2 linked regions of the Oryctolagus cuniculus genome follow. The protein of the gene in region 2 interacts with the protein of the main gene of each other region in a pairwise test. Links are inferred from orthologs where the notes say so. Each region holds a gene or a part of one and is shown on either strand. Other genes may lie near its edges.

Region 1 (4,282 bases), on a different chromosome or scaffold from region 2:
CAGGGAGCAGGTGCAGCTTGACGTAGGGGTCGGCCAGGCCGTTGAAGTCCATGGGCTTGAGGCCCTGCAAGGAAGCAGTGTGGGGATGAGGGCTGTGCCTGCCTGCCTGCCCTCTGCAGAAGTGGGGGGGAGGGAGTGGGAGGAGCCAGCGAGGGGTGGGAGGGGGGAGGAGCAGTGTCCTTCCTGCCCCTCCCAGGGCAGAGGGCAGAGCAGGCGAGGAGGGCCTGAGAGGCAGGAAGTACCCACCTTGGCCCTGAGGATGCTACAGTGCAGAGCGCAGGAAGCCTGGTCATACAGAAGATCAAACTCCAGGGTGCCCAGGGCGGCTGGAAAGAGGGCGTGAGTCAGTGTACCAGGCCAGGGGTGTGCGAAACGGGCTGGGCAGGCATGGGACGGGTGTGTGCCCTGGGGCGGCGTGTGTGCGTGTGCGCGCGTCTGGGTCCCCGGCTCGGCTGCCACCGGGGCCGTGAGTGGGCTGGTGGAGCGTCTCCGCAGAAATATTGAAGCTGCAATCGCCTCACCACGCCGGCTGCAGCTGCGGCAGCGACAGGCCCCCCCCCCCACTCGCCCCCTCCGGCCCCCGCCCCCGCTGCCCGGCAACCCCCAGACTCACTGGCGTCGTCCGAGTCGTAGCTGTCCACCTCGGCTCCATCCTCAGGCGTGGTGGCCCCGAGGAGGGCAGCAGGGGGGGCCAGGGCCAGGGGGGCCAGGTGAGCAGGGGCCTCCCCGCAGCTCCCGCCCCCTGCTTCAGGTCCCGGGCCCAGGCGGGGGAAGTAGTCGGAGATCTGGCGGATGGGCCGGATGGGCCCGGGGCACACGTTGATGGCCATGTGCTCCTGGATGTTGATGGTCATGCGGTCGCCCCTGCGGCCCCTCATGCAGCACCCCTGGCTGGCGAGGGGGTGACAGCGTGAGCCCAGCCACCTGCCGCCTCTACTTGCCAAGGCAGCCTGCCCGGCCAGTGGCCCTCGCTGACCTGCCTTCCCAAGTGACAAGCGGACAGCAACCTGTGCCAGTCAGCCAGCATCACAGGGGCCGCTCCCCCACAGACGGGTCGTGGGTCCCCCTCCACCTCGTGGGTCTACCTGGAGGTTGTCCCTTTGTCACCTTCCCACCTCCCCCCTCTCCTCCTGGGCTCTGGTCTGCCCCGAGCCCAGCCTCCCCCAGAGCCTCTTCATTAGGTCCCCGCCTCTGTCCCTCAGAGGCTCTGCCCACCCTCTGCAGCAGGCGCTGGTCCGGTCAGGGTGTCACCCGGCCCTCAAGGCTGTCCCTTCATTCAACCCCAGGATTCTTCTGCCTGCCTGCTCCTCCCCCACCCCGCGCCGCGCAAGGTGGGAACCCCAGCCTGCGATGCCTCCTCTTGAAATTGCAGCCGCAGAAGCGCTGAACACCCCCGTAGCACCCACCGAAAACGCGCTGGCCCTCACCCTCACACCCGCGGCCGGCCCAGCCCCCTGCACCTGCCTCTATGCCTCCAACAGGTGCCCGGGCACTGCGCTGCCGGCGGGTGCGGGCTGGGCGGCGGCGGGCGGCGGTCCCCGGCGCGGCTAGCGAGGAGAGCGCAGAGTCCGGCTGTGCGCGCCGCTTGGGAGCCAGAGCCGAGAAAGTGCGGGGAGGAGGGGGTGAGCGCGGCGAGGCGAGGAGGCCGCCGGCGCCGGCAGCGGCGGGGAGGGGGGGCGGGGAGGGACGGCCGGGCTGGGGAGGGGGCGGGACTCCGGCTCACACCCGCCGGGGCACGCTCCGGAGCGCCCGCCAGTGCGCACCCACCAGCGCGCACACGCACGGGCACGCGGGCTGCCACCCGCTCGTGTGCACACGGGCGGGCACCCACGGCGGGCCGGGCGCTCCCGCGCGCACACGCCTGGGCCCACGTGTGCGAGCTCACACGCATGCACACGCGCTGCACACTCGCAGGAGAACTTCGCAGACGCACACCCGCAAACACGCGAGCTTCCAGCGCCACCACGAAGCTGCGGCGAGAACGCCCGGGGCTTTCCCAACTCCTCCCGGGAGACCCAGGCCGCCGCCCGCGCGTTAGGCCCGCAGCGCCGCCCTCCGCTCCCGGGTCTCCGGACCACCGGCCTCGTTGCCATGACAACGCTGGCTCATTCTCCCCACCCCTCCCCCGCGGAGAGGCTTGGAGGAGGGAGGAAGACGCCGGTCCTCCCCAGCCTTGGGTCCGTAGGGGCGGGGCTTAGTGATCCGCAGTGACTTGGGACCGGGATAGGGTAAGGGGATCCAATCCACCTGCCGCCGCTGGCCTGGGATCTGGGGGTCCCCAGCACCTCCTCCCTTTGGCTGTCCTTGTGACCCTACTCAGCCCCCAGGGCCCAGGGGCCCCTTCCCAGGGGTGATATCTCCCTTGGGGATCTCCCCTCCCACAGTGCATGCCCTGCCCACCCGTGGGCTTCCCCAATCAGGTGTCTCCCAAGGCCCTCCTCCTCATTCGTCTTTCCTGGCTTGAGCCCTGCCCCAGGCCAGCTGCCGGCCACCACTGGCTGTGACTAAACCTAGCCTGGGATCTTGGCTCTACTTTGTCCTGGCGAGGCCTTCAAGGCTCTACAGACCTGGACCACATCCGCCCCCTGCCCACAAATACCTGAAGTCCCCGGAGCAACCTTGACCTTCAGGTCTCTGGAGCTTGGCTCAGGAAGGCTCCTCCACCTAAGAAACCTGCCTCTCCTCCAGGAGTCATCTCAGGCCACCTCCTCCTAGAAGCCTTCAGCGAGCATCCGGCACAACCCCCCAGCCGGTCCCGCTGCCCCCCCTCAGCGTCCAGAGCTGGGCTGTGGCTGTTTGCTGTCTGCTTGTTTACGTGTCCAACTCCCCCACTAGCCAGAAGCTGATTCATCTGAGTCCCTAGTGCCCCAGACAGGGCCCAGCGCTAGGCCGGCACCACTGAATGATGGGATTGAAGACAACCATGTGTTTGCACAACACACTGAATATACTTAGGCCACCCAGCCCAGCACTGAGGACTGGTGAGATGGGGGGGGGGGGGAGGCTCTGGGACAGCAGTTAAGGCACAGCCTGAGCTCCTGCGCCCGGCCCGCCCGTGTTGGAGTGCCTGCACTTCAAGTCCAGCTTCCTGGGGATGCGCACCCCGGGAGGGCTGAGGGGATGCTCAAGTGATTGGGTCCCTGGGAGACCAGGTGGAGGTGCTGGCTCCTAACCTCGGCCTGGCGCAGCCCCAGCTGTGTGGCATTTGGGGAGTGAACCAGCAGATGGAAGCTCTCTGTCTGTCTGCCTTTCAAATATATAAGTAAAGGTTGAGAGGGTGTATGTTTTGCCAGTTTTTAAAAAAGTAAGAGGGGCCGGCACGCTGTGGCGCAGTGGGTTAACGCCCTGGCCTGAAGCGCTGGCATCCCCTATGGGCGCCGGTTCTAGTCCCAGCTGCTCCACTTCCGATCCAGCTCTCTATTGTGGCCTGGGAAAGCAGTAGAAGATGGCCCAAGTCCTTGAGCCCCTGCACCCACGTGGGAGACCTGGAAGAAGCTCCTGGCTCCTGGCTATGGATCGGCGCAACTCTGGCTGTTGCAGCCATCTGGGGAGTGAACCAGCAGATGGAGGACCTCTCTCTCTGTCTCTACCTCTCTAACTCTGTCTTGCAAATAAATAAAAATAAATCTTTAAAAAAAATTTTTTTTTGACAGGCAGAGTGGACAGTGAGAGAGAGAGAAAGGTCTTCCTTTGCCGTTGGTTTACCTCCAATGGCCGCCGCGGCCGGCGCCCCGCGCTGATCCGATGGCAGGAGCCAGGTGCTTCTCCTGGTCTCCCATGGGGTGCAGGGCCCAAGCACTTGGGCCATCCTCCACTGCACTCCCGGGCCACAGCAGAGAGCTGGCCTGGAAGAGGGCAACCGGGACAGAATCCGGCGCCCCGACCGGGACTAGAACCCGGTGTGCCAGCGCCGCAGGTGGAGGATTAGCCTAGTGAGCCACGGCACCGGCCTTTTAAAAAATTTTTTTTAAAAAGTAAGAGAAATGTCCCCTCAGACTCCACTGAGGTAGCCCTTGCTACCCACCCACTGGGAAGAATTCCAAATGTCTGGTAGCACACAGTGTGCTGAGGCTGTATGTGCACGGACACCGACTCCGCAGAGGCCGGCAGATACCAACGCGACCAACACACACATCTTTTTGAAAGATGTACTGATTATTGGAAAAGCAGAGTAGAGAGAGAGAAATATTGCTGTCAACTGGTTCATTCCCCCAAATGGCCACGACCACCAGGTCTGGCCCAGGCCAAGGCCAGAAGCCAGGAACTCCATCCTGGTCTCCCA
Region 2 (3,982 bases):
CACAACCCACAGGGTCACTAAAAATTCAATCGGTTCTTGCATTTAGTATGTTTTGTACAATGATTGGCATATACAAGGGCACGGGAAATATTAGGTTTTATTATTACGCTATTGTTACAAAAAAAAAAAAAAAAACACAAAAAATAACAAGAGGATGACCTAGAGTGGACTCTGTCTCTTTCACTGTGTCAGATGGAGCCCTGGCCCTGACAGAGGACAATGACTGTCAAAATGACAGGGCTTTAACGTCCTCCAGCCACGCCGGGCATCAGTACGGAGAGGACTGGCCACCTTCTTCCAGGTGGAACTAGTTTTGCCCACCCTAGATGCAATTCACCTGTGGTTTCTTTGACTCCTTTTCTTGACGGGGCCCTCATTCCCTAGCGAAGACCAGCGCATTCCAAAGAACATCTCTTAGGATTAGAGTGCCCTCCCACTCCTTCCTCCTCCTTCTCCTTCTTCCTCGGGGTCCTGCATTTCCCCTTAAGTCACTAGGCAGTCACGGGCCACAGCCGTGGACAGCCAAGTGCGTCTGCAGTGCAACCCCTTGGCCGGCTGAGGGGAACTCGCCCTCCCACGACCCCAACAACCCAGCAGGTTTTTCAGGATCTTTCGGAAGCAAAACCTTGTATTGGGGCTTTTTGGACCAAGAATGCCATCACCAGTTCTCCCGATTTCCAGGGTTAATCCCATCTGGAACTACATACCCTTGAAATGGGTTGATGTGGAGTCTTGGGGCCCGGCTGAGAGCCGGGGAGCCAGGGGTGGCTCTCGGGAGCCTCCACGCACCGGGGCCGGCGCCGGTCGGGATCCCCCGCCCAGAAGCTGCGCGACGCAGCCGGCGGCGGGAGGGAGCCACCTCCGGCCGCGCTGCCGCTTTAAGAGAGGGGCGGGGCCCGGCACAGCAAGCCAGGGCCAGCCCACAAGGCTCCTATTCCTTTTTGATCCATTCAAAAATTACTCATTGCAAATTCCCGGACTGCTAGGAGCGGAGAAGGAAGGGGGCGGAGGAGAGAGGGCCGCTGCAGGCATTGCGTCGGGGGCGCCCGGGGGGCCCGGGGCGCTGACGGCCGGTCCCACAGAGGCTGCTCACTGGCGCCGGGCTCCGGTGGCCTCACCAGGAAGCGTCAGTCTCGACCCCGGGGAGGCTCGGAGCGCCGCCCCCGCCGCCGCCGCCGCCGCCGCCGCCGGGCTCCGGGTACCTGAGTCCCCTCCCGGGCCCCCGGCTCCAGCCCGCGCCCTCCGCTTTCCCGGACCGTCCGGCCCGGCGCCTTCCAGCGATGGCCGGCCGCTGAGTCCTGGCTCGGCACGGCCACCTCAGCGCGCTCGGCATGGCTGCGAGAGAGGAGCTGTACAGCAAAGTCACCCCGCGGAGGAACCGCCAGCAGCGCCCCGGCACCATCAAGCACGGGTCGGCGCTGGACGTGCTACTCTCCATGGGGTTCCCCCGAGCGCGCGCGTAAGTGACCGCCCCGCGCCCCTCCCGCCCGCGGCTTCGCTCCGGCTCGCCTGGCCGCCGGGTGCCCGGTGCCGGCTGCCCGCGACCTGCTGGGCGCAGGATGGACGCGCTGCACCCCTCCCCCCGCCTGGGACCCCGCTACTTCCCGGCCGCAGGGTGGGCGCGGCGCCGCGCGGGCTTGCTGGGTTGGGGACTTGAACTGGGAGCCTAAAGCTGGGAAGCTGAGGGCCGCGGGTTCGAGTCCCCGGGCGCCGGATCCCCGCGGAGGGCGCTAGGAGGCTCCCTGTGGCGCACCTCGAGGTCTCCTGCGCCGAGCCCCGGGAGGCGGGGCCCCACGGGCGACTTGGGCTGACTTGGGATGCGCCGGTGGCCAGGAAAGGGCGAGGCACTGCGGGGCCGGGAGGCCGGCGCCCCCACCGCCGCCCGCTTCCAGCTGCGAGGTCGCTAGGCGGCTCGGTGTAGCTCCCGAAGAGGCGGAGCGGGAGCGTGGGTGTTGCCGCGTGCTCAGTGCTGGGGAGGACCCGGCGTGTCCTCAGTAGTGACTGCAGTGCCGAAATCTGTGGGTGCCTGCGAGTGAGCAGAGACAGCGGCCCTCCTCCGCCCTTCTCGCTCCGGGAGGGTGGGATGGGGAAGGGCGGCGAGAGCGCGCAGGTGGCCGCCTCCGCAGCCTGCCGAGAGAGGCCTGCTTGCCAGCTCTGGCAGCAGCAGCAGCAGCAGCGGCAGGGGTCTTCCTAGGCCGGTCAGCGGAAGCCTGGGGCGCGGGCACCCTGCCTAAGAGAGGCAGGGTGCTCAGGCCCCTGTCCTGTGGCCTAACCCTGTGCAGGTCTCTGAAGTGGCCCCCCGCAGAGCGCTGCTTCTTTGAATGACGTCACCGGACAGAAGAGTTGGACAAACTTTATCAGGAAGGGCCGGTGAAAACCCAGATTCCTTCTTCTTTGCCTCCTGGTCCTTTTCAGGTGGCAGCTCTGCCCCTGGGTGAATCTCTTGGCTCTACTCAGTGCCCCTGGCCTGCTGGGACAGGGTGCCGTGGCTTTGCAGGGTCACACCGTGCTGTGTCCCTGGCTTCCAAGCACCAGGGCTGCAGTTCCCGATGCCAGGATTACAGAGGGAAGAGGCGGTGGGCTGTGTGGGGCGTGTCAGGTGCGGATGCTGGGAGTTCAGAGTCGTCCTGAGGATGTCAATGTGCCTGGCTCTCTTTAAGAACTGGAGATAGGATCTGAAGAGGCTGGAATTAGCGTAGTCCCAGGCATCTGCCTTTTCTGAGCCAAGGCCAGCATTAAGGACCAAGATTATTTAATTGTGGGAAGAAATACTTAGGGGACCCGCCTCTGACTGCCATGCTGGCTCTTGGGATGGGTTTTCGGGGACATCTCCCTCATCCCCCCAAATCCAAGAGGACTGACAGCTGAGCATAATGGCCTAATTTTGGCTTGCTTCACGCCAGAGGTCCCATAATAGCTAGCATTGGTTGAGTAATTACTGTATACAATTCTGAGTACTTTATCACCCACTCAATCCTCCTAGCAATCCAATGAGAAAGAGGATAACTATATGCTCATATTATGAACTGGAAAACCGGGGCTTAGGTTTCGTAACTCGTCCAAGGTCACAACAGCAAGCAGTCACACTGGGATTCAAACCCAGGCTTTGTGTCTGTACAGCCCAGGCCCTACATCTCAGGCCACGGTGTAAATTTCCCAATACAGGTGAAAAGCATAGAGCCATTCCTGGCACATAGTGGGCAGACACTGAGTGTTGCCTCACAGTTCTTCTGCTGTGGCTGCTGTAGCACAAACTGGGCAGCTTCGAATAATTGATTTATTACCCCTCAAGTCTAGAGGCCACAAGTCCAAAATCAGGGTCTCTGCGCTGAAATCGAGGTCTTAGCAGGGCCATGCACCCTCCGGAGGCCCTAGGGGATGGTCCTTTGGTGCCTCTTCCAGCTTCTGGTGGCTGCCAGCACTCCCTGGCTTGTGGTCACCTCCTTCCTATCTCTGCCTTGGTGACCATGGTGTCTTCTCTTTGTCCATTCTCCCTCTGCATCTCACATAGAAGTGCTCATGTGATGGCACTTGGGGCTCGCTTAGGTAACCCAGGGTCATCTCCCATCTCAAGATCCCTAACTTAATCATGTCTACAAAAAATCTTCCCCCTCTCCCTTTTTAACCATCTGCCTGGGCATCCACAGATTCTAGGGATGAGGGCATTGACATTTGGGGGGCGTCATTATTTAGTCTATCACACGGCTACTGTTGAGGGTATTACAGAGCAGGCTGGGTAAGGGGGTGGTAGGGTTTGCTGCTCAGTCTGCCATAGATTCTGTGGCTCCAAGGGGTCAAGCCCTTGGAGCTCACACATGGTCTCTGGTCTGCTCAAGGCCTGCACAGTCTTACCTGTCCCGTGCCGTAACCCAGACAGGCGGATGCGGGCAGCCTTCCCCTTGATAACTCTGGTCACTAACAAGAGAGGTCAGCAGACGTCTCAGGGGGCAGGCTTTTAACTTCATTTGGGAGAGAGACAGAA

The links. The genes of interacting proteins can lie anywhere in the genome.
Region 1: the proteins of UBASH3B (region 2) and DOC2A interact in binary tests that used the Homo sapiens proteins (3 or more experiments, as listed by UniProt). The link is inferred for Oryctolagus cuniculus from reciprocal best matches to the Homo sapiens genes UBASH3B and DOC2A.

The regions. Positions count from the first base shown.
Region 1 is NC_091450.1:7,405,492-7,409,773, forward strand, and holds the start of DOC2A (double C2-like domain-containing protein alpha), read right to left. Parts: upstream 2,801-4,282; 5' UTR 2,600-2,800; intron 1,905-2,599; exon of another isoform or gene 1,886-1,904; intron 1,681-1,885; exon of another isoform or gene 1,428-1,680; intron 1,427-1,427; exon of another isoform or gene 1,407-1,426; intron 1,367-1,406; exon of another isoform or gene 1,216-1,366; intron 892-1,215; 5' UTR 879-891; coding exon 614-878; intron 327-613; coding exon 247-326; intron 65-246; coding exon 1-64. UniProt on the Homo sapiens protein: Calcium sensor which most probably regulates fusion of vesicles with membranes. Binds calcium and phospholipids. May be involved in calcium dependent neurotransmitter release through the interaction with UNC13A.
Region 2 is NC_091432.1:115,071,971-115,075,952, forward strand, and holds the start of UBASH3B (ubiquitin-associated and SH3 domain-containing protein B), read left to right. Parts: upstream 1-1,182; 5' UTR 1,183-1,331; coding exon 1,332-1,459; intron 1,460-3,982. UniProt on the Homo sapiens protein: Interferes with CBL-mediated down-regulation and degradation of receptor-type tyrosine kinases. Promotes accumulation of activated target receptors, such as T-cell receptors and EGFR, on the cell surface.